4 linked regions of the Lonchura striata genome follow. The protein of the gene in region 3 purifies or fractionates together with the protein of the main gene of each other region. This does not show direct contact. Links are inferred from orthologs where the notes say so. Each region holds a gene or a part of one and is shown on either strand. Other genes may lie near its edges. The genes, in order: COPS8, DCAF11, COPS7A and DDB2.

Region 1 (7,912 bases), on a different chromosome or scaffold from region 3:
CACAGCTTCTTCTACAGGAAGGCCAACAAAGGCTGCAAAATCATCTGCAACTATTGATGTGTAAGCCTGGGAAACCAGTCCAAAGGCTCGTCTCCTGGTTGCATCTAGGGAGAGAGAACACAGGACACAAGAGACTCATCTCCAGAGCTGGGAAAGCTGAGAACATTTCCTCAATTCTACCACCTCTGGAAAATCACTACCAGCCTTCAAGTGAGCATTTCAGGAGTTCCCCCTCCCTTCCCACAGCTCACAGTCAGCAGCAAGAGACAACAGCTTGTTCTCTGCCAGGACAAAGCCCCTCAGAGCCTACACTGAACTTCCAAGCGCAGCCTGCAGCATCCTGGGCTGCACCACCAGCATGTAAAGCACTTCAGGGAACTCTGCATCCTCTGATGGCAATATGCCAGCAATTAGTTACTAATTAGTGGCATCTAAAAAGCAGTTTTAGGGAACCTGTTTTGCAAAACACCTCTTTTTAGCAGTCTGCACTGCCCTCTAGGAGCAAGAATCTGCATGTTACCATTACACAAGATGGAAAACATTTCACTGAAAAACCACTTTCTAAGTCCTACAAGGTTCTGAAATGCCAAGCCAAGTTCCCTGGTTAGAAGTCTGATAAAACTGGGTGATTTATGGTCTGTTTTGCTCTTACAGAACAAACCACATGGTTTATGAAAATCCAGTGTCAAAAAATACACAGAAACAGAATCCTACTAAGACCAATTTACTTGTTTCTACAAGGTTTTGTAGAGCTATTTATTTACACCCGACACCGGAAAACCTTTTAGTAAAACCTACAAAAACTTGGCAACAGTTGTCCTGATTTTTCACAATTGACAATTTGCTTCTGTTGGAGCAGACATAAATAATTCCAGGCAATTCCCTGCTCAGCTTGTACCTCTGAGTGCTTCCATGATTGGCTGGACAGTCTCAGACCACTGATGTGCACTGATTGCTGTGTAGATTCCTGGGAAGTCCCTCTGCCAGATTCTTTGTCCCACTGACCAAACTGCACCAAGTTCAGCATTTGCCTGTTGTGACCAAAAAAAAAAAAAAAAACCACAAAAAAACCAAAAACAAAAGCCAGTATTAATCCAGAAGAAAATCCTTATGCAAAAACCCATTTCCACCCCCATATTTTCAGAGAACATTGCTGTGCAACAAAACCAGCAGGTTTCTGAAGTAAATTTGGCCCAATACTTACAGATTTGATAGCAGGAGGGATTCTTTTCCAGAGATAACGTGCATTATTCCTAAAAATAAATAAATAGAAAGACGAAAAATACTTCTCAGTCACCATATGCAGCAAAAAGACACCACAAGGTTTGTCCAGATGCTATAATGAATATTCTCAGTGCTTTAAAAATATTCTTTCCAGGAAGGAATATTGGATACTGAAGTGGGAAAAGCAGAGCTGCTCTCCAGCAGACAACACTGCACTGCTGTAACACAACCAACAGTTCTTTAATTGCCTCATTTAACACCAGTTTGGGAAAGCAACTTCTCCCCAAAACCTCAAGTTTAGTGCATTAAGTACACCCAGAGACATGGAATAACCCCCCCAAACCAAATTCCCAGGAATTCCTGCAGATTTAGCTCCTTCAAGCCAATAGTAACACTCATGTTTAACAGGGATGGTCCAGAGTTATCCTGCTGGAATTTAAACAGAAGGAACAAATCCAACCCAAAACAAACCAATAAATCCATAATAACCCCAAATCCAACCTAAAACAAATGCAGCCCTGAAGAGCTACAAAACAAATCTCTGAAATGTTTAACACTTCCCAGAGGAGCCAATTTCACCACTGAAGGAACTGCATTCCCAAATTCCCACACAGGAAAGGAGAACAGCTTTCTTGACAGATCAAGGGGTGAAAGAGACTCGATTCTTGGGAATATTGTTATTATTTCTCCATAAAACCAACATTTTTATTAATCCCAGAGCCCATTCCCAACGTGCTGGTGACAAAGCCAGTGCCACAGGCTGGGACAAGCCACTTACATGTCGTTGTGCAGCAGGTACAGAGCCAGCAGCTGGCCATACACCAGGGGTGTGGCAATTCCTCCAGGGGCCTGAAAACACACACACATTCTTGGCTTGCAGATTCTAAAGGGGGATGTGATACAAAACGCAGCACCAAGCCAGGTTTTACATAAACTGAACACTCCCAAGATGACTGAGCTTTATTTATGTTTTTTCTCACATCATGTAACAGGTCTTTGCAATTTTCTAGGGGGGGAATAAATAAGCCTCCATCTTCCTATGCTCATAGGAGTTGCAGCTGTTGAAAGTGAAATTAAATCACCCGCCCACTTCGATTACGTTCAGCTCAGGCCACTCCACCACAGCAAAGCCTCTCCGTCCCTCCCAAGAACCTCGAGTTAAGCTTCGGCCCCTGCCACACCTCAGCAGCGCTCGCAAGGAGGAAATAAAGGAGCGATAAAAAAGGTGAAAAAATTTGAAAGCTGCAAAGATTTCCAATGAGGCTTCGGGCCTTTTATCAAGGGACAACAGACCGTAAAGCAGCACAGAGGGAGCTCCCAGTGAAAGCTGCCACATTAAACTCGTTCTAAGGGTAATTCCACGAGCCTGGCTCAGGGCTGCACTCCCCTGATCGATACCTTCATTTTCTCAGCCACGAGAAGGACGGAAACCCACAAACTCCACCACTCCCTCCATTCCCTCTGAAGCGACGCGAATAATAATACGGAAACACCCATTTATCTGCAAGGTGCTACTTTCCGACGGGCTCTCTGGCGAGCCCAAGGGGCAAGCTCAAACACTGAGCCCTCCCCCGCTCCCACGCACCCTGTCCACCTCCCACGCACGGACACAGACCCCTCCCCGCCCCCCGTCCCGCGGCACCTCCAGCTCCTGCGTCTCGCACTGCTCCAGGAGCCGCCTGAAGCTCGCCGAGCTCTCGGCCATCACCGCCACCGGCATCTTCCCCTCACGGCGCCGCCCGCCCGCAGCGGGCGCCGCGCGATGACGTCACTTCCGCTTCCCCTCCGCGCCTCCCGCCCGCCTCTCGGCGCTCCTGGAGGACCGCGGGGGCGTGACCAATCCGGGGGCGTGACCAATACGGGGCCGTGACCAATCCGAGGGCGTGGCTGGGGCGTGACCAATCCGGGGGCGTGACCAATCCGGGGGCGTGACCAATACGGGGGCGTGACCAATTAGAGGGCGTGGCTGGGGCGTGACCAATCCGGGGGCGTGACCAATCCGGGGGCGTGACCAATCCGGGGCGTGACCAATACGGGGCGTGGCCGAGCCCGTGAGGGGCTGAGGGGGGCGCGCGGCGCCTGAGGGCGGCCGCGGTTACAGCCCTTTAAAATCCCTTTGTTTTCTGTGTGACAAGCCAACTTTCCGCGCCCTATAAAGAAATGAGTGTGCCTGGCGTGCAATACGGTTTTCTCTTCGTATCTGCCGCATTTATGCGCTGCGTGAGGCGGACGCCCTCCATCCCTTATTGCACATCCCTTATTGCATGTACGTAAGGGTTGTTCTCAAGGGGTAGGGAGTGCTTTTCCAGCTCTGTACCTGTTGGTGCTGGGCTTTAGAAGTAGTTTTTACAGTTGGGTTCCTTTATCTTTGTTTCCTGTGAAACCCGCTGCCGGCTGCTGGAGACAGGCCATAGGCATGGAGTACCCTGGGTTAAACACAAGGACCAAGTCCAGCCCTGGCCCTGCACAGACACCTATTCCAGCAATCCCAGCCTTTGCCTTGTCCAAACATTCCTTAAGCCCTGGCAGATTTGGGAATGTCACCATTCCCCGGGGAGCCTGTTCAGAGCTCACGCTTTTCCCAACATGCAGCACCAATATCCTAATCAGTGGTATTGCTGGGGCCGCAGATGTAAATTCATATTTTCAGGGTAAAATCAGCCCGAAGGGCTCATTTTCTGCAAAACTTTCCTTTTCTGGTACAACGGGTTTGCTTTCCATCATCATCCTCCTCTCCATATTCCTTGAACAAAGCCTGACCCCAGCGCTTCCACCATCCTCCATCCCCAGCACTGCCCTAAAAATCATTCCCCAAGCCATTTATCCTTCACGCAGGGAATTTTCCCAAGCCGTGCTCAAGAGCTGCACCACCTCGCTGTGAAACTCGTGAGTCCTCCACACTTTTGGGGTGAAAAAAAGAAGAGTGGGGTAAATCCTGATCCCTTTGCCACGGAGTCCCCGCGCTGCGGGAGAGGTTTTGGCTGTGGAAAAACAAAATTAACGTGTGTTTGTGTTCACTTTAGGATTCGCCTGAGGCACAGCATCTTGGAGGAGGGTCCAGGCGATGGCACTGCTGCTCCGCCGGCTCAGGCATCACTTTCCCGGGAAGCAACCTCTCATCCCGCTGCCGTCCCCGCCAGCCGCATCGATCCCGACGGCCCTTTGTAGCCGCCAGCTCTGTGCCAGCGTCGCTTTGACATTCGGACATCTGAGAGGAGCACTGTCCTCACCTTTTGCTCCCGTTCCCAATTATCTCGTGTTTTCGGGAGGCGAGGAGGGGAGCAAAGAGGGCGGCAGCTTGTGATGATGCCGGTGGGGGACCTTCCCGCGGGGATGGGGTCAGAGCATCCCGGATTGCCACCGGGAACACGTTGAATTGGGAAGGATTCCTCTCCTGGGGGCTGCAATCCCACATCCCGATGCCATCCTCCTTCCCGGTGGGTCCAGGTGGGAAGGCGTGAGCCGGTCCCCGGCACCGCTGGCTGTGTTGGGCCGGGGCAGAATCGCAGCCCCTGACCATGTTCCTGCTCCCCGCCGGGAGATCATTTCATCCGGGGGAAAAAAACCCTGTAAAAATAGAATAGAGGAGAGGTTTCCTCAAGAGGGCACTAGCTGCAAGAGAAACTGCCTAAAAATCCAAGGAAACTGGACGTCCAAACATCCCGCTGTCCCTTCCACCCGAGAGAATCTTTCTATTTGGGGGGAATTAGGGGGTTTTTTGGCTTTTTTTTTTTGTTGTTTTGGTTTTTCGTTGTTGTTGTTGGGTTTTTTTTGTTTCTTTATTTTTTTAACATTTCGTTTTGCTTTTCATTTTTCTTTCGGAACAACAGAAGAAGTGCTGCTTCATGCACTGCTGAGCCAAGCCTCCCAAATGCACCAGCCCCTCTCTGGAAGCAATTCCTTGGCAGGGAATTAGCCAGAACCTACCCTTTTGCAAGCATGTTCTGCATCCTCCCCTCTCTCTTTTCCCCCCTTTTCCAAAGCTATTTAAGGCTGTGGCAACATGTTCAGGGAGGAAACATGCCAGAAGGGAATACTCTTCTTTTTGAGTCACCAAGAAAAAATACAGCAGATTTGTTGTATTTTCAGGGTTGTTATAAATCCGGGAGGTGTGGAAGATGTTCCTGGCGTTGTTTGGAGCCTGACCTCAGTGTGGTGGCATCACCCAGGACCTCTGGACGGTGATGGCAGCTGCCTGAGCCAGCATCTCAGAAAACCACAAGGTCATTTATTTCACTCAGGAATTTCTCCTCAATTCAGACACCAAAAGAAGAGGCCAGACTCATAAAACAGCTGAGCACGTTGGAAAATCTATCCCACTGGCAAAGCTAACCACGTTAAATTAACAGGAAGGCTCCTTGACTTGACAGCATCCTGATTTTTCTTTGGCCCACAGGCTCAAAAAGCACTTAAAGACAGTGGCCGCTGGCTGCTGCAGGAGTGTAAAGTAAGTTTAATGTGATTTTTATTCAGCTCCTGGTGATGATGGCAGGAAAATCTCAGCAACTCGTTTGTGCCTTGCATGAATTTTAAAGCAGGGAGGGAAATGGATCCCAGTTCTGCCATCCTGGACAGACCCAGTAGCTTTCAAAGCAATACCAAGGCATTTCCAAGAAAAATTAACAGACATTTCGTGACAGGGCTTAATTTTCCCAGTTGTTTCCATGTGCTGCTGCCTGTGATCTGGAGGTACCCTCTGGAAAGATGATTGCAAGTGGTTTCCTTTTCTCATCTGCTTCCAAAGCTTTGTAGAGGAACAAAAGACTCGTGGTGGGGAAATTAGGATGCAATGGGGCGATATGGAACAATAGGACAGTAATTTAATGTGAAAGTTAAAGAAAATGGTGCTAAAGGGTCAAGATGAACCTCCCCACGCCCTTCCCATTCCCTCAACAGCCTGACTGGCAATAGCTGGGTTGATCTGAGCAAAGGCTGGATCCAAACACGGAAGGTTATTTCCTTCCATGACATCAAAGGGGAAAATGCCTCGTTTTTAGGAGCTGTGCCCATGAAAGGAAATGGCAAGCGGCTGGTGGGAAATTATCATTGCTTTTTCCCCAAACAAGCTTTTCAATCTATTGCATGTCCATAGGGACGTTGGTTTCAACTCCAATAAACAAGAAGCTATCTGGGATATTTGGGATATTATGGGTTTTTTTTTGTTTGGTTTTTTTTTTTGGTTTTTGGGGGTTTTTTTTGGGTTTTTTTTTTTTTGTGTGTGTTTTTTTTGTTTGTTTGTTTTGCTGACCTCACCCTTGATTTTTCAGCTTACACCCAAGGTCTCAATTCTAGAGGTTTATACTCCAGCACAGTGGTATAAATATCTGGCACATGGTGCCCAGAGAAGCTGTGGCTGCCCCTGGATCCCTGGAAGTGTTCAAGGTCAGATTTGGATGGGGCTTGGAGCAACCTGGGATAGTGGAAGGTGTCCCTGCCCATGGCAGGGGGTGGAACTGGATGGGCTTTAAATAAGGTCCCTTCCAAACCATCCTATAATTCTGTGATTCTATGAAGTAAAAAGAAAAAAAAACAAACCCTAAATCAGAGAGGCTGAGGAGCTTGGAGGATATGTAGGAGACCAAAAAGTGACCAGAGTAGCTGGAAGTGATGAGGCTTTTCCACCCAGCTGTCATTGCCTGTGGGGCTCTGTGTCCTCCTGCTGCTGCTCCGGGGCAAATCTCCCCTAGGGCTGAGATCTGGGGCTGGCTGGGCTCCTTTCTGTCCACCCCAGACACCTCCATCCCCCTCCTCTTGTCTTCTCTGTGAGTAACCAGGAGCGATGGCTCCTGCCACAGGCTCTGGAGGCAAAAGCTGCCCTTTAATTAACCTGCCAAGGGCATAAGAGACCCTCTGTGTATTTAACCTAAACTTTGTTTTTATGACTTTCCAGGCTTGTCTGTGCATTTTCCTGTTTTTGCTTTGTTCTCCGGGATCCTCAGCCAAGTTTCTGTCCCCTCCCTGGCTCCTGGGCCAGCAGTTCTTGCTCTCCACATATTTTAATCCTCCATGGAAAGGAGCTGTGGTACCTTTAAGCAATGTAACAGCTCTTCTCTTGACTGTTCCCCCACCTTGCAGTTCCTTCGCTTGGAAATCTCTGAAAACCCCCAAATTCCAGGGGATAAAGAGAGCGTGGGGATTCCTGGTCCATTGTAGGGTGGGATCAAGCATCCAGCATGGGATATTTTTGGATATGGAGTAGGACAATCCCGGGTCAAGCACGGGGTGGTTGGGGGATGGAGGATCCCTGCTCCAGCTGAGGCATTTGAGGAATGGAGCAGGTGGGTCCCTGGTCCAGCAGGGATGTTGGAGGGTATGAATTGGGGAGGGTCCCTGGTGCAGTCAGGGAGCATTCGGGGGATGGAGTGAGTGATCCCTGCTCCAGCTGGGGCATTTCCAGGACGGAGCATCCCTGTGCAGAAGCCCCTCTCCAGCCCACGCCCTTCCACCAGGATACGATGCACAGGACTCACATTGTGAACGCAGGGGCTTCTTCCTTTCCCTCTCCTGTGAAAGAGGGGCAGACGCTCCTGCAGAAACCTCCCTGCGCGGCTCAGCATCCCTCCTTTTAACAGGAGCGCGATGCACCGCCGTGTCTCCCGGGGCTCGCTTTTAAATCCGCTAATCCCCCGTGATGGCACGCGTGTTAACAAACACCTGTCCCCCGCCAAAGCCACCGGGGCAGCGGGCG
Region 2 (7,467 bases), on a different chromosome or scaffold from region 3:
CCCATTTTTAACCCTTTCTTGGCCATTTTAACCCTTTCTTCCCCATTTCCCCCCATTTTTAACCGTTTTTACCATTTTTCCCCATTTCCCCCCTCCCAGTCCCTCCCAGTATAAACCAGTAACCCAAACCCCATTTTTAACCCTTTCCCCCCCATTTTTAACCCCTTTTCCCCCGTTTTTAACCCTTTTTTTGCCGTTTTTCCACCGTTTTTCCCCGTTTTTCCGTATTTCTCCCCGTTTTCCCCCCTCCCGGTGCCCTCCCAGTCCAAACCAGTCCAAACCAGTTCCCCACCTGCCGCACCAGCCTGGGCAGGCTCCGCTCGGGGGGTCCCGCCCCGGCCCCGCCCCCCCCGAGCTCCGCCCGCAGCTCCTGCAGGGCGGGGCCGGGGGGGGGAGGGGCGGCTGGGGGGGGGAGGAAAGGGGGCGGGGCCTCAGATCAGGCCACGCCCCTTTTAACCCTGACCCCTCCCTTTAAGCCCCTCCCCCCCCCTTTAAGCCCCTCCCCTCATATAAGCCCCTCCTCTTATTTAAGCCCCTCCCCTTATTTAAATTAGATAATTTAAGCTCCTCCCCTTTAAGCCCCTCCCCTTTATTTAAGCCCCTCTCCATATTTAAATTAGATCCATGTAAGCCCCTCCCCTTTATTTAAATTAGATTCATTTAAGCCCCTCCCCTTTATTTAAGTCACTCCCTTTATTTAAATTCGGTCCCTTTAAGCCCCTCCCCTTTATTTAAATTAGATCAATGCAAGCCCCTCCCCTTTAAGCCCCTCCCCTTATTTATGCCCCTCCCTTTATTTAAATTATGTTACATTAAGCCCCTCCCCTTTATTTAAATTAGATCCCTGTAAGTCCCTCCCCTTTATTTAAGCCCCTCCCCTTTATTTAAATTAGATCCATGTAAGCCCCTCCCATTTATTTAAACCCCTCCCCTTATTTAAATTAGATCCCTTTAAGCCCCTCCCCTTTATTTAAGCCCCTCCCCTTTATTTAAATTAGGCCCATTTAAGCCCCTCCCCTTATTTAAATTAGGCCCCTTTAACCCCTCCCCTATAGTTAAACCCCTCCCCTTATTTAAATTAGATCCCTTTAGCCCCTCCCTTTTGTTTAAGCCCCTCCCCTTATTTAAATTCGACCCCTTTAAGCCCCTCCCCTTTATTTAAGCTCCTCCCCTTTATTTAAACCTGGCCCCTTTAAGCCCCTCCCCTTTGTTTAAGCCCCTCCCCTTTATTTAAATCAGGTCACCTTAAGCCCCTCCCCTTTATTTAATCCCCTCCCCTTTATTCAAATCAGGTCACCTTAAGCCCCTCCCCTTTGTTTAAGCCCCTCCCCTTTATTCAAATCAGGTCCTATTAGCCCCTCCCCTTTGTTTAAGCCCCGCCCCATTATTTAAATGTGGTCCTTTTAAGCCCCGCCCCTTTCCCCTCAAGCCCCGCCCCCTTTAAGCCCCGCCCCCACCTCTGGAGGCCTCCGGGGCCCCTCCCCCCCCTTCCGCTTCCGCTTCCGGTTCCGGTTCCGGTTCCGGTTCCGGCTCCGAGTCCGAGTCTGAGTCCGGATCCGGCTCCGGGATTTGCCCCGCCCGGCCCTGGAGAAAAGGCACCCAAAATGACCCAAAAATGGCCAAAATTCACCCAAAATTCACCAAAATTCAGCCCAAATTCAGCCAAAATTCAGCCAAAATTCACCCCAAAATTCAGCCAAAATTCACCCAAAATTCACCCAAAATTCACCCCAAAAATGGCCAAAATTCACCCCAAAATTCAGCCAAAATTCAGCCAAAATTCAGCCAAAATTCACCCCAAAATTCACCAAAATTCACCCCAAAATTCACCCCAAAATTCAGCCAAAATACCCCCCAAAATGACCCAAAATTCAGCCAAAATTCAGCCAAAATTCAGCCAAAATTCAGCCAAAATTCACCCAAAATTCAGCCAAAATTCACCCAAAATTCACCCAAAAGTCACCGAAAATTCAGCCAAAATTCCCCCCAAAATGACCCAAAAATGGCCAAAATTCAGCCAAAATTCAGCCAAAATTCAGCCAAAATTCAGCCAAAATTCAGCCAAAATTCAGCCAAAATTTACCCAAAATTCACCCAAAATTCAGCCAAAATTCAGCCAAAATTTACCCAAAATTCACCCAAAATTCACCCCAAAAATGGCCAAAATTCAGCCCAAAAATGGCCAAAATTCACCCAAAATTCACACCAAAATTCAGCCAAAATTCACCCGAAATTTAACCAAAGTTTACCCAAAATTCACCCAAATTTACCCCAAAATTCACCCCAAAAATGCCCAAAAATCTCCCAAAAAAATTCCAAAAAATTCCAAAAATTTCCCCAAGCAATTCCCTAAAATTCCCAACAAAAACCCAAAAAAATTCCCCAAAAATGCCCCAAATCCCCTCCCCCACCCCCAACCTGCCTCAGTTTCCCCAAATCCCCCCCAATCCCCTCCCCCACCCCAAACCTGCCTCAGTTTCCCCCCAAATCCCCTCCCCCACCCCAAACCTGCCTCAGTTTCCCCCCAAATCCCTCCCAAATCCCTCCCCCACCCCCCAAATCCCCTCCCCCACCCCCCAAATCCCCTCCCCCACCCCGAACCTGCCTCAGTTTCCCCCCAATCCCCCCCAAATCCCCTCCCCCACCCCAAACCTGCCTCAGTTTCCCCCCAAATCCCCTCCCCCACCCCCAAACCTGCCTCAGTTTCCCCCCAAATCCCCTCCCCCACCCCCAAACCTGCCTCAGTTTCCCCCAAATCCCCCCCAAATTCCCTCCCCCACCCCTCCAATCCCCTCCCCCACCCCCCAAACCCCCTCCCCCACCCCGAACCTGCCTCAGTTTCCCCCCCCCTCACCTCCTGAGCAGCGCGCGCAGCTCCGGCAGCTCCAGCCCCTCCCCCCCCTCCCCACCCTCCCCCTCCCCGGCCCCTCCCCCCCCCCCGGGGCCGCCCCTCCCCCCCCCTCCCCTTTCCCCTCCCCCCCCTCCGCTCCTGCCGCCCATGGATCCCCCCGCGCCGCCACTTCCGGGTTAGGCCCCGCCCACCGCGCCGCCTCCGCCAATCAGCGCGCAGGCAGCGAGCCACGCCCCCCCCGCGCTGATTGACACGTGGGGTAAGGGGGGAGGGGGCGTGGCCTGCGGGGGGAGCGCGCTGATTGGCGGAGGGGGAAAGGAGGGCGGGGATTGGTGGGAGCGGGGAGGGGATGGAAGGAGGGCGGGGATTGGTGGAGAGGGGAGGGGCGGGATGAGAGGGAGGCGGGGATTGGTGGAGAGGGGGAATGGGGGAAAATGGGGGAAAATGGGGAAAAATGGGGAAAAATGGGAAAAAAGGGGAAAAAAGGGGGAAAAATGGGGAATTTTGGGGGAAATTTGGGGAAAAACGGGGGGAAAATGGGGGAAATTTGGGGAAAAATGGGAAAAATGGGGGAAAAATGGGGAATTTTTGGGGAAAATGGGGAAAAATAGGAAAAAATGGGAAAAAATGGGGAAAAATGGGGAAAATTGGGGAAAAATTGGGAGAAATTGGGGGGAAATGGGGAAAAATGGGGAAAAATGGGGGGAAATGGGGGGAAATGGGGAAAAATGGGAGAATTTGGGGGAAATTGGGGAGATTTTGGGTGAAATTGGGGAAAAACGGGGAAAAATGGGGAAAAAATGGGGAAAAATGGAGAAAAATGGGGGAAATTTGGGGAATTTGGGGGGAAATGGGAAAAATGGGGGGAAATGGGGAAATTTTGGGGGAAAATGGGGAAAAATGGGGAAAAATTGGGAGAAAATGGGAGAAAATGGGAGAAATTGGGGGGAATGGGGGAAATGGGGAAAAATGGGGGAAATTGGGGGGGAATGGGAAAATTTTGGGGAAAATGAGGAAAAAATGGGAAGAAAAGAAAAAATTTGGGGAAAAATGGGGGAAAATGGGGAAAAAATGGGAAATATTGGGGGAAAATGGGGGAAAATTTGGGAAAAAAGGGGAAATATTTGGAAAAAAAGAAGAAATTTGGGAAAAATAGGGAAAATGGGAAGAATGCGGAAAAATGGGGAAAATGGGGGAAATGGGGAAATTTTGGGGGAAATTGGGGAAAAGCGGGGAAAAAATGTGGGAAATGTAGAGAATTGGGGAAAATGGGGAAATCTTGGGGAAAAAAATGGGGAAAATGGGAAAAAATGGGGAAATTGGGGAAATGGGGAAATATTGGGGAAAATTTGGGAAGAAAGGGAAATATTTGGAAAAAAGGAAGAAATTTGGGAAATATGGGGAAAATGGGAAGAATGGGGAAAAAAGGGGAAAATGGGAGAAATGGGAAATTTGAGGGGAAAATAGGAAAGTTTGGGCAAAATTTGGAATAAAAGAAAAAATTTAGGGAAAAAAGGAGAAATTTGGGAGAATTTCAGGGAAATTTGGAAAAAATTGGGGGAAAAGAAATTTTGTGAGAAAACCTGGAAAAATTTGGGTAAAAAGGGGAAATTTTGGGGAAACATTCAGAAATTTGAGGGAAATGGGGAAAAATGGGGAAATTTCGGAAGAGAAAATTTGGGGGAAAAGGAGAAATTTGGGGGAATTTGGGGGGAAATTTTGGGGGGAAATGAGGAAAAATTGGGGGAAATGAGGAAAAATTGGGGAAAAAGGAAAATTTGGGGAGAAAAGAAAATTCTGGGAATTTTTGGGGGAAATTGGGAAAATTGGGAGAAATTTGGGGAATTTTGGGGAAATTGGGAAATATTGGGGAAAAAGGAGAAAGACTGGGGGAATTTGTGGAAAATTGGGAAATTTAGGGGAAAAATCAGGAAAATGGTAAAAATTTGGGGAAAAAAGAGTAAAAACATTTTTTTTGGGGAAAAATCCATTTAAAATGAGGAGTATTTTGGGAAAAAATAACAAAAATTGAGGAAGTTTGAGGAAAAATAGGTGAAAAAATCAGAATTTTGGGGGGAAACGGATTTAAAAAGCAGATTTTGGGGAAATCAATGGGAAAAGGAGAAATTTTGGGGAAAAAATCGATTTAAAATGTGATTGTGGGGGAAATTTTAAAAAAAACCCAAAAATTCCAGCGCAAATCGGGAGGAAATTTGGAATTTAAAAAAAAAAATGTCAAAAAAAAAAGGTTTTTGGAATTTTGGGCAGCTTTTATTTTTAAAAAGGTGAAATTTGGGAGAAATATCCCCAAAATAAAAAAAAAAACTGGGGGGAATTTCAGGGACAAAAATGGGAATTTTGGGAAAAAATCGAAAAAAAAATTTGGGGAAAAAATTGAAAAAAATTCAAAAATTTGGGGAAAATTTTGATTTTTTGGGGGGTTTTTTGTGGTTTTTTTTTCCCCTCCCAGTATAAACCCCCTCCCCCCACCCCTGGCGAGGCGGAAAGAAATGCAAATGAGATGCAAATGAGGCAGAAAATCACGGATCTTTATTGGAGGATCAGCGGCGGCGGCGGCGGAAACCTGGGGGGGAACTGGGAGTTACTGGTTTGGACTGGTTTGAACCGGTTTAAAGGGATTTAAACCGGTTTAAAGGGATTTAAACCGGTTTAAACTGGTTTGAACCGGTTTAAACCGGACTCACCCTTCCTCCCTTTCTTCTTCCCCGATTTTTGTTTCTTCCTCTTTTTCTGCGGCGGCTCCGACGAATCCTGAGCCCCAAAATCCCCCAAATTCGGCCCAAAATGGAGCCCAAAATCCCCCAAATTCAGCCCAAAATTCCCCAAAAATTCCGCCCCAAAATCCACCAAATTAACCCAAGAATTCCTCAAAATCGACCCAAAAATTCCCCAAAACTTGGCCCTAAGATTCCCAAAATTCAGCCCAAAATTCCCTAAAAATTCAGCCCTAAAATAACCTGAATCGATCCAAAAATTTCCCCAAAATTGACCCGAAAATTCCCCAAACCTTGACCCTAAAATTCCCAAATTCCCTAAAAATTCTGCCTCAAAATGACCAGAATTGATCCAAAAATTCCCCCAAATTGACCCGAAAATTCCCAAAAACTTGGCCCTAAAATCGCCGAAATTCAGTCCAAAATTCCCCAAAAATTCAACCCCAAAATCCCCCAAATTTGTCTCAAAATTCCCCAAAAAATTAACCCCAAAATTCCCCAAAAAATTAACCCCAAAATTCTCCAAAAATGGATCCTAAAACCCCCCCGACATTCAACCCAAAATTTCCCAATTTCTGCCCAAAATTTGCCCCAAAACTCCCGAAAAGTAGACCCCAAAATTCCCCAAAAATGATCCCAAAAGTCCCCAAATTCAGCCCAAAATTCCCCAAAACTGATCCCAAATATTGACCCCAAAATCCCCCAAATTCAGCGCAGAATTCCCTAAAAATTCAGCCCAAAACCCCCCAAAATTGACCCCAAAAAATTCCCCAAAAAATGACCCCAAAATCCCCCAAATTCACCCCCAAAACCCCGAATTCAACCCGAAATCCCCCAAAATTCACCCCAAAAACCCAAATCCATCCCAAAATCCCCCAAAATCCCCCCCAAAAACCCCAAATTCAACCCGAAATTCCCCAAAAATTGACCCCCAAAATCCCCCAAATTCAGCCCAAAAATTCCCAAAGAATTCCGCCCCAAAAATCCAGAAAATCGACCCAAAAATTTGATTTTCCCGCCTTTTCCCCCATTTCCCGCCTTTTTCCCCCATTTCCCGCCTTTTCCCCCCCAGGCCACGCCCCCCGCACCTGATTGGCCGCTCCCAAAAGGGCGGGAAACGCCCCGAGGTTGGTGACGTCATCCAGGCCTGGCCCCGCCCCCTTTGGCGGCCGCCAGGGGGCGCTGAGGCGCCGCAGCATCGACTCCTCAAAGCGGCGCCTGCGGAGCCAAAATCGCCCGAATTTACCCCAAAATCTGACCCAAAGTGGGCAAAATCCACTGAAAGGGAATGAAATAACCCAAATTTACCCAAAAATGGACCAAAATCACCCGAATTTACCCCAAAATCTGACCCAAAGTGGGAAAATTCCACTGAAAGGGGACAAATTCACCCAAATTTAACCAAAAATGGACCAAAATCGCCCAAATTTACCCCAAAATCTGACCCAAAGTGGGCAAAATCCACTGAAAGGGAACCAAATCACCCAAATTTATCCAAAAATGGACCAAAATCACCTGAATTTACCCCAAAATTGGGAAAATTCCACTCTAAGGGAACAAATTCACCCAAATTTAACCAAAAATGGATCAAAATCACCTGAATTTACCCCAAAATCTGACCCAAATTGGGCAAAATCCACTGAAAGGGAACAAATTCACCCAAATTTACCCAAAAATGGACCAAAATCGCCCAAATTTACCCCAAAATCTGACCCAAAGTGGGCAAAATCCACTGAAAGGGAACCAAATCACCCAAATTTACCCAAAAATGGACCAAAATCGCCCAAATTTACCCCAAAATCTGACCCAAATTGGGCAAAATCCACTGAAAGGGAACCAAATCACCCAAATTTACCCAAAAATGGACCAAAATCGCCCAAA
Region 3 (6,909 bases):
AGCACAGGTTTGTATAGATATGTCCATAGATCTATATTTTTATTGTTTTATATATATTTATAATATATTTATATATTTTTTTAAAAGAATCCCTTCAAAAACTACCCTCCCACCTAGCAAAACAAAGATTAAACAATCAAAGATGGTGTCCTGGAGCAAAGTATCCCAGGGGGTCTCACAGAGCCAAAACAACTGCTGTGCACCAGCACCCTCCTTCCAAGCTCTTGTGATGCCCTGGGGGTGCCAAGGTGACTGTCACACCTTTACGGCTCCTGAAATCGACCTGTCAAAAGACAGGGAGAGAGAAAGAGAGAAACACGTGGCCGTGGCGACGGGGGCTCGAGCGGCTGGGGAAACAGCAACATGTACAACCTCAAGCTCAGAGTGTGAAATGCTCAGAGTGTGATGAAAAGGAGGGAGACACTGCCTGGAAGGTTGGTAAAGAAAGAAAAGAGAACAAACATGCAGGAGAGTTAGTTGGCAAGATGGATCTCAGAGAAGAGCTCAGAAGCAATCACGCCTGGGACCCTGCTACCCCTCCATCCCCCATATCTCTTCCTCTCACCCTCCCAGTTGTGAAGGGAGATCCAACTAGTTTGATTTAGACCAAATCTTCGTGCTGCCCCGGAGCCTGTGGGCACAGGGAAAAAAAAAAAGAAAATAAAAGTTCAAAGTGCACACTCAGGTTCATATTTTCTTTCCTTCCTAAGTGCACAGAAAGAAGTGTTCCCACACACACGGGCTCTGTCTGCCCACAGTGCTCACCCTTTGGCTTTGGAGGTTTTCTTGCTTGCCTGGCGCTGGTTGGTGCCAGGGGCCGGCTCCCTGAGCTCCGTGAGGTGCTGCTCTGGGTCTTGGGACGTGGCTGCTGCAGCGGCTGCTGTTGTCACTTTAATGGTCTTCTTCAGGTTTGCCACCTGCAATAGTGGCAAAGTAAGAACTAATGGCTTTCCCAAAGCTGGGGACTTTTTAGCTACGGGCTTTTTTATTTGCAATTTGGGGTTTTTTTTAAATTTGTTTCTAAAGGAAGCCCTGGAGCTAAGAGCTGCAAGCTCACATCAAGCAAAAGAGCCAACATCTGTCCAGGCCCCTGCACTGCAGAAGAGTATTAAGCTGATTTAAGACTCTTCTTCAGTCACAAGTCCCTGGGGGGTCTGACCTAGGGAAAAGGCAATGCCTCACTTCAGCAAAGCCTCTAACAAGCACAGGGTACTGGCTCTAGTTGTTTTAAGGTGAGGGGCTTTGGCTGCTCCCTGCTGCACCCACTCACCTCGCTCTCGATCTGCTGCTTCAGGGCCAGCTGCTGCTCTTTGTGCTGGTTGGCCCGGCTGACCTGCTCTTCGATGCCCGACAGCACCACCTCGCAGCCCTGGCACCTGGAGAGGAGACCCACAACTGAACAGGCCAGGGAATTGGCACAGCATGGATGGAAATGTGAAAGACAGCAGATTTCAACTGCAAAAACACTGGGAGGTGGCAGCTATGCCAAGCAGGGAAGATAAAGGGGCAGGAGTCTGATGTAATAACACAGGGAATTATGTTATTATCTGGGAGGGGGACAGGTAACAAAGCCATGCTGGGTTAAGAACTACAGATAAACACTCAGGAAGCCTCCTGCCAGCAGCCAGCGCTGTACAAAGGCTGCTGCGTCCCCATCACCCCTCTAGACACAACAGGGGGATTTGGGAAGTTATTTCTGGAAAATTACTTTCCATTGGAGTACGGGAAAGGGGATCAAGTAGGTCACCTCCCAACACCACCCACCCTTAGCAACAAAGGATCCAGGGAAGCCACTGGCCACTCCTGCAACCTTTTTTGGGTTGGGGGCTTCCTCCTCACCACTCCTGCAATGTGCGGGTGATGGTGCTAAGCTCCTCCCTCCGGATGTCCCTCCCAATGCTGTAATCCACCTCCAGGCGCTGGTTCCGTTGATCCAAGCTCCCTCGAAGCACATCTGCATACACAGCCTCAATCACCAGGTCCTCCAGCTGCCGGACATTCTTCAGCTGCAACTGCTCCAGCAGCACTGAGTAGGGGATGCACTGCGGAAACACGATGGTAACTAGCACAAGATAATCCCAGTGGGGGAGAACTCGGGGAAAAACAGGGCCACTACCTTGATTTTGGCAGCCAGAGTGACGACTGACAGGTGCCTGAGTTTGTTCTTCTGGGCCTCTGTCAAGGGAGGGAGGTTTGCTGCTTCAGCTGTTGTCAGGGGAAAGAACAGGATATTGGAATTTATGCCTCGTTTCTCAGTTCTGCATAAAAGCATCTGTACCACACCCGTCTCTTAAAACATCTCCACACCAATCCCCCAAGTGGTGCTTCGTCTTGCCAAGCCATCCCCATCAACTCTCAGCTCAAAAGACCTTTTCTGAGCAGCCTTTCTTTCTGCCACCCTCAACTCAGCCTTTCTAGCTGTCCCATGCGTTATTTACGCGGGTCTGCACATCCCAATGGATATCCAAGTCTCTGCCCCGGCCCCTCAGAAACGTCTTTGCCGGGATGCTCTTTGGCAGGGCCCAAAGCACAGAGCGTCGTGCCGGGGGCTCGGCCTGGCTGCCGGGGAGGGAAGGAGGGAAGGAGGGAGGGAGGGAGGCCCTGTGCGCCCCGCGTTCCCCCCGCGGGATCCCCAGCACCGGGCCGGGATGCCCGCGCCGCCTCACCCAGGTAGTCCGCGTAGGTGCCGTAGGCGAAGATGGTGAGGAGGCGGAACACGGGGGAGAACTCGCTGTCGGCCAGCTGCGGGGACACAGGGTCAGGCGGCGCCGCCGGGCCGCGGGCAGGGCCGGGCGGGGCCGCGGGGCCGGGCGCGCCTCACCTCGCGGACGGCGGGCATGTCCAGCAGCTCCCCGAACACGTAGATGCCCGGGGCCTCCAACACCTGGTGGATCAGGCTGGCGAGCGCGGCGCCGCGGGCCGCCTTGGCCAGCAGCAGGAACTGCTCCTGGCTCTGCCCCGTCACCTTCCCCTCGGCCGCCATGGCCCGGCCCGGCCCGGCGCGGCCCGGCGCGGCCGCTCGCTCGCCCCCGCAGCCCCGGCCCGGCCGCTCCCGGCCGGCCCCGCGCACCGCCCGCTTCCGCGTCTGACGCGCACCCGCCGCCCATTGGCGGAGCCGGCCGCTTGTCCCGCCCCCGCCGCTTCCCCATTGGCCGGGCCGGGCGCCGCGCGGCGGCGCAGTGCCGCCGCCAGGGCGCCCCCCGCTGGCGGGGCTGAGCGCTGCGCCCCGTCCGTCCCGCCGCCGTCCCGTCCGTCCCGCCGCAACCTCCGGCCATCCCGGGCCGTTCCCGGCCATTCCCGGCCATCCCGGGCCGTTCCCGGCCACCCACGGCCGCCCTCGTCATCCTGCCACGGCGCGTTCATGTCCCCGGGCCAGCACAGGCTGCGGTCTCCGGCCACCTGCTGGTCCCCAGCCTCGGCACCAGCCAGCCCTCAACTCCGTTCTGTGCTTTTTTCATGCCCTGCCCCGCTCACCAGCCACGTCTGCTCACTGTTCTCTTATTTTTCATGACCCGTCCTCTGTCAAAACTCCCCCAGGCTGCTCAGCCATCGTGAGGTGTGTCCCAACAAGGCAATCAATGCCAGAAGAATATCCACATGTTTTTGGGTCTTGCCGGTCAGGTGAATATCTACTCTTCATCCCTACACCTGGAAATGTTCATGGCCAGGATTGATGGTGCTCTGAGCAGCGGGGTCTAATAGCACACCTCCCTGCCTCCAGCAGGGACTTGGAACAAAATGATTTTTAAGGTCCTTTCCAACCCAAACCATTCTGTGATTCTATGATGAATGTTGAAATAACTGGTGGGAAAACAGATGCACTACTATATGGCATGGTGTTTTTCACATCTCAATGATCTATTCTATAAGCACCACACCAGAATTGAACGAGGTGCATAGAATACCTTGTGTGTGCCCACACACATCGCTCTCATTTTTGCTTTCACACCATTAAGATCTCACTATTTTCGGCAGTGTTTTGGGGATATGTAAATGTAAAAAATCTTATGTTGCAAAGCACTGTACTTACGTATTTAAGCTGTGCATTTCTCAAATCCCTGCATGCCTCCCCTCCTCTACTGCATTAATTTTTACCAAAAAATGACTTTACTATCTGCTGAATCATTAACCATTGCACTTGTCAAGAAATGCATCCCTGATGCAGGCAGGGTATGGCCATAAAAAGATAGTTTAAATGCTCCACAAGGATAGAAATGTTTATAGTGCACCTTAAGTATATCTTCGTGGGTGTGTGAGTTACAGCAATGCGGTCATTGTTGAGGGCACAGTTCCCTGTGCCAGGTGAGAAAGAATAAAAAGTGGGGGTCATTTGGGGAAAAAAACACCCACACCTTCAGAGCTCTTCTCATCTTGTATAAATCACATGGGAGGCAGAGGTGAGTTGAGAGGGGGACTGGGAGGAGTGCAGTCAGTGTGCATTTCAATAAGAAACATTAAGCTGTTTGGCCAAGAGTTTCCAGTGCATCACGAATTTCCTCCTGCCTGGCTCCTTCAGAAACCCACAGTGATTCTCCGTGAAAGAAAAGTAGGCAACAAATTGTTGGGAGGCCGATACAGTCTATGCAGGTAGCACGGTTCTAGGACGTTAAAATCGTAGAGCCATCAGGGCAAGTTTGCACTCCAGCACGTAATTGCCAGCAAGAGATTTGGTCTTCAGCTGGATCAGTTTAGCACATATTAAAGGCAGTTGACTTGTGCTTTGCCAGACTTCTGTAAGTGCAACATCTTGAAATAAGTGTAACATCTTGAAATCTTCATCTGGGTGAAGTCTATGTTTGTTAAGGTTTTACTTGCCAGTATCAACAACTCTCTTCTCTTGCTTTGACTCTAGTTCTTTTCACGCAGCTGCTGTGGCTGAGTCATGGAGAAGGCTCTTTTGGGGTACAATCCTGCTCCAAACATAATTTCAGATCTAGAAAACATAACCTGTGGCTGCCTTGGGGGTTGGATTGTTGTCTCCCAAGCTCATTTGTACAGCTGTAGGGATTGTCACTACTCCTTCTCAGGGTCATCCTCTTCAGTGTTTGGTCTCCTCACTGAGGCTACTGACAGAAGGAGGGAACAGTGTGGACAGCAATGGTCAGTGTGAAAAACTGAACTTCTAACATTAATGATCATGCCATGAAGATTAAATGGACAGCACTTAAAACCAATTCCAGGCAAAAGGAGCAAAACAGGTCTGAGTGCTGGGCCAGAGAAGCAAACATGTGCCCTGAGAGCGGAAGGCACCCAAACCTTCAGTCCTGCTCTTGTAGGGCACATTTTCATTTATGTGCTCTGACCATTTTAGCTTTGAGATGTCGCAGTCTCCTTTGCCTCAAAAAACCTGAAGCTGAGCAAAGAAACTTCTCCGATTATCTTCCACTGGTAACTGAGCATGGGCACAGTCAATGAGCTCTCCTAGGCAAGTGCCTCACATCCAGTGGCTCAGGGCATTGTCGGAAGCTACCCCGGGTCCTCAATGAACAAAATAGTAAGGAGTGTTTCCTATGCTCAAGTCAGGTAAAATGGGACCAAGACACATTTTACACAACAGGCATTTCTTCAGGGGAGCAGGAAAGTCTATCAGTCTGTATTCTCTGAGCCAGCAATATTTGGGCTTCTGCAAACAGCAAGATGAAAGGAGAGGCAGGGCAGGTAAGGTTGGCTGAGAGCTGTGAAGGCAGGTTACAGGGCAATATTGACAAGGGCACCATCTCCTCCCTGCTTTTCCCTCCCTGTTTTATGTATTTAGGCCAGATCCACCGTAGCCTCACACCTCCTATCTTCACTTACACCAGTGCAGGGTGCATTCAAATCAGGTTCAAACGTAACCCTGCCGATTTGTAATGTTTTATTACTCTCTTCCCCACCCCCTTGCCGGCTCCTTCCATCTCAGTTTTATCTCTCTATCGATCTGTTTCTCTCACACTCTCTGACACGCTTGCTGCCTTTCATTATTAGTTAGATAAAGCCTGGCAGCCTGAGCATCCTAGCTACATTGATGCTCTCTCTGTCTCCTCCACTTTGGCCCCAGTTCCTATGTGCTGTGTGCTGGCTCCCCATGTTTTTGTCTGCTCCTTTTTTATCCTGCATCAAGGGCAAAGACCAGAAGGTGCTTCAAATGACTCAGATCCTGCGCTGTCCAAATGAGAAGGTCATTGTCTTCACGAGTGCAAAAGTCATGGGTAACATCTCCACAACGTAGCAAAACTTTGGCCTCATCCCTAGATGGGAATGCTGGGTGTTGAAATCAAATCCCAGCCTCCTGGAGTCAGTAACTTCTGTGTTTTTGCTTTCCTCACAAAGCAAACACCTATCTTTATGGTCACGGGGAAACTGTGAAATGTGATTTTCATGTAACCAAAAGAGCCGAAAGTAGGAGGCGAAGAGTGCAGATGAAAGCAAGTCTGTACGACATTTCATAATTTTAAGATAAATCTTGTGACACGGAGACGTTCTGTGTTGTTGTTTCCGAATATTTGGGATTTCTGATCCTAGCTGTAACCACCCCCTAGCATCATCCCTCTCTTCTGATCTTGCTCTGATCTTTACAGAAAGAAATCTCCATTCTCTTTGTGCTATAGATCCACTTTCCTCTGTGCTCACTGTCCCACTTTAAAGCTGTAGAGCTGTATGGGCTCATTCTAGGTTGTTCCTTTCCTCACCACCACAGAATCCAAATAACTTGTCAAAACGCTGAAGACATTTTTTTCACCAGTCCCTCTCCAAACATAGCAGAGTCACATCTCATGAGACGATTTTTCACAACTGTGTGTAACACAGACTCTGAGACAAACTGTAAGGACAAGGGAGGCTGGCAGGACTCTCTTGGATACCAACATGATACAGAAGCCTTTTAACCCTTTAGTTTCTACTGGGCTAATGCACACAGGGATTACACTTAAA
Region 4 (7,129 bases), on a different chromosome or scaffold from region 3:
CCGCGGGAAGGCGGCGCCGGGACCGGGACGGGCTCCGCCGCCAGGACCCCCAGCACCCCGCAGGGCACAGGTCCGAAAAGGCGGCGGGCCCGCGGAGCGAAGCCCACAGCAGCGAGCCCGCCGCTTACCTCGCAGGCGGCGCGGCGGGACGCTCAGCGGGCAGCGGCCACCTCGGGGAGGGGCCGGCTGAGCCCTCCCCCTACTTCAGCCGCGGGACTCGGGGGTCCCGCCCCGCCTCCAGCGGCTCCCGCGGGGCGGGCCCGCGCTCGGGCTGCTCCGATGGCAGCGACGGAGCCGCTCCAGCACAGCTCCCGCCTCCCGCCCCCGCCGCCCGGCCCTTGATCCAATTAACGGGAGCGGGCTCTGCCCAGGCAGGTGGGGTCGGCAGAGGTGCCGGGAGGGCAGCGCCGGCTCCCGTTGTCGTTCTCCCCTACCTCCACGTTGGGAAGGGCTGCAGCTGTGGGATGCGGAGGGGACTGAGGGAAATCGGCCTGGCTGGGATCCCCCTCGTGGCGGGGTCGGGAGGGAGACAGCTCTGGGAGGAGCTGCCCACTCGGCCCAGCCCCGAGTTCGGCTCCTGTCCGTGAGTTCGTTCATCTGTGTGCTGTACCGGCCAGCTGACGTGCAGGGCTTGGAGCCCCCCTGCTGTTGGAGCAGGAGGTTCCCCAAGGCTGATTTCCACCCAAGTGAAGTGCTGTGGTCTCTCGTGTGAGAGTGGCATGGGTCACTCTCCCTGGGCTTAGAGGGTGGCATCAGTTCACCTTGGCATCCGTCTTTCTCGTTCAGCCCGATCTTGCAAACTGCTTTCAGTCACTCTTCCATTTCTCTGAAAACGTCTATCTGAATAATTTGGACGTCATCTTTTAAATCCCTGAGTGCAATATCCCCTGGGCCAGGGCTTGCTGGCGGAGCGCTACCAGGCCTTGCTGGCCCGCCTTCTCTTGAAGTCACTGCTTCCAAGTGACTTGGGACATAATTCCAAGGACCAACTGTGGGTTTGTAGTGATGTTTATTCAATTGGTGGAAAAAGGAAAGACTGAGAGCCTTGCAGAAGAAAGAAAGGAAAGAGCATGCCATAAATCTTCCATTTCTCTGCAGCAGTACTTAGGTGTTTTGCCTTTCTTTCCAAGTGCCCTAGATTTCATAAGAACCAGAAAATAACTGTGCTGATGCCCTTCATATACAGTGAAATTTTGTGTTAGAAAGTGGACATTAGAAACCATTCCACTTAATTTCTTCTGAGACCAATCCTCTGTTCACCTTTACCAGCATAGGGTCTCTGGAAGGTAGACACCCATGACAGGTCATTGCCTATGGGTGTCACTTGTAAAAAGTGAAAAAATATGCTTGTCTTGTCCTTGAAGTTAATCACAGCTGAGAGTATAAGCAACTTTGTCTTTTACTAAAACAAAACTGAACCCTATTCTTTGGCACAGATACTCCCTAATTCAATTAAGTTCTGCATTTTTGATTTCTGTTATCAAAGTAATGTACATTAATGAAGGTCAGAAAAGGCAAGCTCCTGTCATCCATTAATAGTCTATATCCAGTGTTTGCCCGGTGTTATGTTTGCATGCTGATTTCTAGATTGCTATCTCATGTGCATCTAAGATAGCATGTCTAAGACAGATACTGCCCATGTGGGACTTGGCCACCACCAATACTGATTGCAAGGTGAGAGTATTAAATAGCATGGCTGTTGCGATCCTGTCCTCCAAGGCTGGAATGGCTTGGGGGAGATAGGGTGCTTTCGTAAATAAGCCCATAATGATAGTGATCTTTTTGTTCATTTTCGTGGTATGGGCAGCTTAACAATGGCCATGGAAGAGAAGGAGGTCAAATAGCATGATATTTACTCCTTCATCTCTTGGGTTTTATATTTTGTTTTACTTTTTCATGGAATATAGGCTTGTTTTCATATGCATGGCAAACTCTAGTTGCTCTAATGATATATACATCAGTATATATAATTTATATATTTGTATATGATTTATACATTTGTATATAACTGTATATTTAGCTAAGGTGGCAAAATTATTCATGCTTTGGACAAAGGTCCTGGAAACAAGGAGGCAGAACACCTAATGGTATTATTACTACCATGAAACTGATCTTAGTTTCAATATAGCTTCACCGGATCCAGTGATAAGACAACGTGATTCTGTTGGAGAGAACCATGTCCCATAACTGAGGCAGAACCTCAGCATAATTGTACATCAGAGAACTGGCAGAATAAAATAAACCTAATATCCTGCCCATGCAGAATTCTATTCCTCTTTGTTGCATACTGCAATTCTAAGACACTGTAAATACGTCAAAGAATATTTTTTCAAATTAGTCTTTCTCTTGCTCAGAGTACCATCCAGACACTGAGCTGTGGGACATCAGGCCAGTGGCATTTTTCTGTGCATGAACTGTGTACTGTCTGTTGTTCTTACCCTTAGTGGATAATTATTACAAAAATATCTCGTGATTCTCCAGAGAGAAATCAAACTTGGTGTTAGTCATTGACACAAACACTCTATTTAGCATGTGACCTCATCTTGAGTACTTTGTGCAGTTCTGAGACTCAACATTTGAGAGTGGTGTTGAAGTCCTCGATTGGTCCGGAGTCCAGAGTCTGGCTTGCCTAGGTTGGAGAAAAGCATGCTGAGGGAAGACCTCATGGCTCCCTACAGCTTCCTGAGAAGGGTAAGTGTAGTGGGAGATCTGATCTCTACTCCTGGGATCCAGTAATAGGATGCATAGGAGTGGTCTGAAGCTGTAAAAGGGTAGGCTTAGACTGGACAATAGGAAGCATTTCTTTACAGAGAGGGTAGTGAAACACCGGAACAATCTTCCTAGAGAGAGGTGGTGAATGCACCAAGCTGTCAATTTTTAAAGGCATTTGGACAATGCCCTTAATACCAGGCTTTGACTAGGTCAGCCCTGAACTGGTCAGGCAGTTGGACTAGATGTTCATTGTAGGTGCCTTCCACAGGCAATAGCCTTTTCTACTCTTTTCTAGTCTATTTCATTTCTAAAAAATGCTGTGATAGCTCCAAGATGGAAATGCGTAGGTTACACTGGTTTTTGCTAATGGGTACAGTTCTAAGACAAAAGCTGTATATTATAAAAGTGCCTGTTGAGACTCTAAGACTTGCTAATTGGTTTGGTGTATATGTCCAAAACCAGATTGTATTAGTGATTATCATTTTTGTGTATGGCATTCTGATACAGCAAGTAATAAAACTTTGTTACTGTTCAGGGAAAGAGCATAGAGACTGTTTGTTGTTTTTCTGGGGAATTTTTCTGTGCCTTTTCTAGTATGTGAGAAAATCCATAGGTAACTGTAGTTATAGCGCAAAAAATAGTAGCACGTGAAACCAAACCCTACAGAAGGCATGGCTATGTACAGCTATTTCAGAACCTGTGTTCATAGCCTCCTGTGTGGATGACTGTACCTTAATTACTCAGCATAGTTACTGTTAGGCCTGAAGCCAGGGACTTCACTGCTTCAGAGATGAGGGATAAGGTTCCCCACGGCCGGCAGACAGCAGCCTCCTTTGCAGGTGCGAAGTGCTGGTACTTCCCTTTCTGTTGGTAGAGCTCTTCCTTCCCCATTCTTGTCAGCTGCACCATGTAGGATCTAGTACTCTCTGAGCTGCTCTCGACAAGACTTTGTTATCAGCTTTTGAAGCACCTTTTGTTGTTGATGGTGTTGATGCTGTTGTTGTTGTGTTCCAACACCAGGTGAGTTTTCTTGTGGAAATGATGTTTTGATTTGTTTTGATTGCCGTGTTTGGGGCTTTAATAGGCCAATTTGGTGCTCTACAAACTAATGAGGGGCATATGATTTTACGTGCTGCACCAAATAAACAAGAGGCAGACAGACGGACCGCGCGTTTCAGGCCGGCTCGGCCCTCGCAGCCGCCTGTCGCTGCCGGGGGGCCGGAGGCGCTGCTCATGCGGATGGCCGGGAGGCCGGCAGGGGTAGGGGGGGGAGGCGGGCTAGGGCTAGACAAGCACGCCGAGCCCTCCCCGGCCTACCCCTGTCGATGGCGCTGCCCCTCAGCGGGGAAGGCTGGCGGGGGCCGCCATGGCCGGCGAAATCGGTGCCGCTCCGGGGGCCGGGCCGAAGCCGCTGCCCCCCGTTCCCGCCCCGGTTATGAAACCGCGGGGGAGGGGCCAGTGCCGGCCGCCGGCCGCGGCGGCGCCGGGAGAGCCGAGGCCGCGGGAGCGCAGGTGAGAGCGGGGGGGCTTTCCGCCCGGGCCGCGAGGGCCGCGGGCCGCGCCGGGGGCTGAGGGGAGGCCCCGCCGTGCCCGGAGGTGCCGGAAGCGGCAGCTGCCTGCGCAAGAGCCTGCGCGGTGCCCGCCGAGCTGGATTTAACAGATATCCGTGATGGCCATTCAGGAATTCTAAACGAGCTCAACGTGAGCGCAGGCTCAGCCCAGGGATGCTGTGCGGGAAGGTGCTGCGGCTGCGGAGGGCCTTTGGCGCACGGCCCGCTGGCTGCAGAGAAGGCCGTGGAAGGCCTGTGCTTTTCCTCAGGGGCCTGGTGGCGTTGTGGCCGGCATAACCCGGGACACGAGTCGCTGAATCTCACCGCCGTTAGAAGAGCAGTTCCGGTGTGGCTGCCAGGCTGTGCACGAGCTGAATCCAAATACCAGGTGGTGGTTGTGAGGAAAAGTGGCCACTATGCAGGAAGTACCTTCTGAGCCCATTTGTTGCAAGGCCAGTCAGCCCTGGCCATCATCATAAAAATTCTGACCTTTTGCTTAGCTGAATCTAAAGAGCTCAGTGTGAGCTACCAGAGAAACAGTTAGGGGATTATGTGGTTTCACAGATGTACTTTATGCAGATCTGTGGGTTTCAGGCTTAAAAGTCTAGTAGAGGCACATCTGTCAAAACATATTCTAGTGCTCTAGGATACATTCATTTTCATATGTGAACAAAGAAGATTTTATTGAACCTGTTCCTCTCTTCAGTAGAGAACAACAAAAAGCTAGTGTCATCCCAATGAAAGAGGATACACATCTAATCACTACGTTCGGACTAACTGGGATATGTTCCATTCCACTTTTCCTCTCTGTCCTCTGGTTAGAAGTGTATGACAGTCTTACCTTCCATGCTTTGCTTGCTTTCAGTGGTCAGGCAGAATGGCTCCAGTAAACCAGCCAAAGGACAAGAAGCGTGAGAGGGCATGTCAGCATTGGCCAGAAGAAGCAAAATCAGCTGGGAAGAGGAAACGGGACTATGGAGAACGAGGGAATGAGAAACAAGAAAAGAAGTTGTTTGTGAGAAAAGCATCTAGACCCTCAGGGAAAATCGGTAATATTTCCTCAGATTCTTTCTCCCTACCAGATTTACTGCAAATGACAGGCATTTACTAGTTGAAGAGAAAGAATGCCAAGAATCATGTTCAGACATGAGTGTTCAGATGATGTTAGATGTTGAAGTAATAGGCAGACTTGTGTTGGGGTAGTACATCCTCCAAGTTTTTGTCTAGTGAATGTGTGTGCATGCAGGAATGTTTGAGACTATGTACCCCTTGATAAAAGCCTGAAGCACTGAAGATGCTGTTACAGCTCATTTGAGGGTGGTCAAGTTTTATAGAATTCCAGTATTACCAGATCTCTGCTTTAGTGTCAGACAGACCAGTCTTGGTAATAAATTCTTACTCTCATGCAATTCTGAATACAACTGTTAGTTTAAGTGTTGGTGTCCTACAGCATCCAGTCTGAGCTGGTATTTGAACCCCATTCTTTCCCTGTTCTAACTTTTGCTACAGTAAGTATGAATACTTTCTACCTCTGTTCAGATTATAAAGGACAGAGTTTCCTCTAATTTCTTCTTCTCATGTGCATTTTTTTTCCTTTGGTGACTAACTTATGAGAAAGACCAAATCTTAAAGAGTTTTGATGTAATGTGGAGTTGTGATTAATTTCTAATATACTGGAAAGTTTAATGCTTTGCATATATTGAGGAAGTTGTCCAGACTTTACCTACAGCGATTTCATAGAATTATTTAGGTTCAAAAAGACCTTTAAGATCATAGAATCCAATGGTTTACAACTCTTTCAGTGAAGAAATTTTTCATGATAGCAAATCTGAACCTCTCCTGGTGTAACTGGAGACCCTTTTGTCCTTCCTCTCACTTGTTACTTGAGAGAAGCGACCAACTCCCTTCTTGCTGCAGTATCCTTTCAGGTGGTTGTAGAGAGCAATATGGTCTCCCCTCAGCCTCCTTTTCTCAGACATAACTTTTAATTCCATCAGTGGTTTAGGAAATCACTAGGGTTACTGCCTTATGTGGAGATACTATGTGTTTTCTGTACAATTTTGGCTTAAGGATCCAGAAATTACTGAAGTCTTTTTCAAAAGTCAGAGATACAGGGGTTCTATGATTTTGCACATTTCCATTGTGTGATCTGTAAGTCCAAACTTGGAGGAGTTAGCAGAGTGAACAGTAACTGTGGAGGCAAAATACTCTGTTTGAAAGGAGTTCCGTTTATAATTGTAGATAGTTAAAACATCTTCTGTAGTTAATTTAGCTACATGATTTTATTGTAACTTTGTGACCCGATTTTTGTATTTGGTAAGAATCTGCCATTCCTGTAAGATACTTCAGAAAAATGAGGCTAATCATATTTTCCCTTAACCCTTTCTTAAAAAGATGAAGACCTTTCTATTTGAGATTTCCCATTCTGTGTTCCAGTTTGTTTGTGTTTGGAATTTTTTTTTCTCCTGATCCATATAGGACAGTTTCCATTTCTTACAATTAAACCACCTTTTTAGAGGGTTTCTTTCAGCTGATTCTAAAAAGGCCTGAAGCTTTGTTTCTTAATAAACTATCCTTAATTGTAAAATAGAATCTGAAAAAAAATACCTCAATTTCTGTCACCTCTGAAGAAGGAACTGTGGATACCAATTCTTTAGTGAAAAAAAAAAAAAGAAATTAGAATAGAAATACTTTTGTACCTATTTCAACAAGTGTGACAAGTGTTCTCACTATGTGAACAAAGAAGTGTGCTTTTCTCCATCATTGCATTAAAGAAAGATTTAATTTAGGTTGTAATCATATAGGATGATCCACGTGTTTTCAGTCTTCTATGTTTGTTTTCTTTTTAATGTGTGTCCTTACATGAA

What was found.
Region 1: the proteins of COPS7A (region 3) and COPS8 purify together in Homo sapiens (affinity purification with mass spectrometry; 11 studies listed by BioGRID and IntAct, counting the BioPlex papers as one, with this or other methods). This does not show direct contact. The link is inferred for Lonchura striata from reciprocal best matches to the Homo sapiens genes COPS7A and COPS8.
Region 2: the proteins of COPS7A (region 3) and DCAF11 purify together in Homo sapiens (affinity purification with mass spectrometry; 3 studies listed by BioGRID and IntAct, counting the BioPlex papers as one, with this or other methods). This does not show direct contact. The link is inferred for Lonchura striata from reciprocal best matches to the Homo sapiens genes COPS7A and DCAF11.
Region 4: the proteins of COPS7A (region 3) and DDB2 purify together in Homo sapiens (affinity purification with mass spectrometry; 5 studies listed by BioGRID and IntAct, counting the BioPlex papers as one, with this or other methods). This does not show direct contact. The link is inferred for Lonchura striata from reciprocal best matches to the Homo sapiens genes COPS7A and DDB2.

What each region holds. Positions count from the first base shown.
Region 1 is NC_134610.1:38,283,982-38,291,893, reverse strand, and holds the start of COPS8 (COP9 signalosome complex subunit 8), read right to left. Parts: upstream 3,019-7,912; 5' UTR 2,945-3,018; coding exon 2,867-2,944; intron 2,074-2,866; coding exon 2,003-2,073; intron 1,254-2,002; coding exon 1,205-1,253; intron 1,032-1,204; coding exon 899-1,031; intron 105-898; coding exon 1-104. UniProt on the Homo sapiens protein: Component of the COP9 signalosome complex (CSN), a complex involved in various cellular and developmental processes.
Region 2 is NC_134641.1:644,517-651,983, forward strand, and holds the start of DCAF11 (DDB1- and CUL4-associated factor 11), read right to left. Parts: upstream 3,001-7,467; coding exon 2,994-3,000; intron 403-2,993; coding exon 293-402; intron 1-292. Other genes in the region: uncharacterized protein LOC110481942, read right to left, coding at 5,413-5,435, 5,557-5,623, 6,675-6,804. UniProt on the Homo sapiens protein: May function as a substrate receptor for CUL4-DDB1 E3 ubiquitin-protein ligase complex.
Region 3 is NC_134604.1:29,611,001-29,617,909, reverse strand, and holds the start of COPS7A (COP9 signalosome complex subunit 7a), read right to left. Parts: upstream 3,020-6,909; 5' UTR 2,984-3,019; coding exon 2,822-2,983; intron 2,743-2,821; coding exon 2,667-2,742; intron 2,206-2,666; coding exon 2,117-2,205; intron 2,043-2,116; coding exon 1,840-2,042; intron 1,377-1,839; coding exon 1,271-1,376; intron 918-1,270; coding exon 766-917; intron 632-765; coding exon 592-631; 3' UTR 566-591; intron 428-565; exon of another isoform or gene 284-427; 3' UTR 1-283.
Region 4 is NC_134608.1:39,083,803-39,090,931, forward strand, and holds the start of DDB2 (DNA damage-binding protein 2), read left to right. Parts: upstream 1-4,111; 5' UTR 4,112-4,224; intron 4,225-5,127; 5' UTR 5,128-5,139; coding exon 5,140-5,311; intron 5,312-7,129.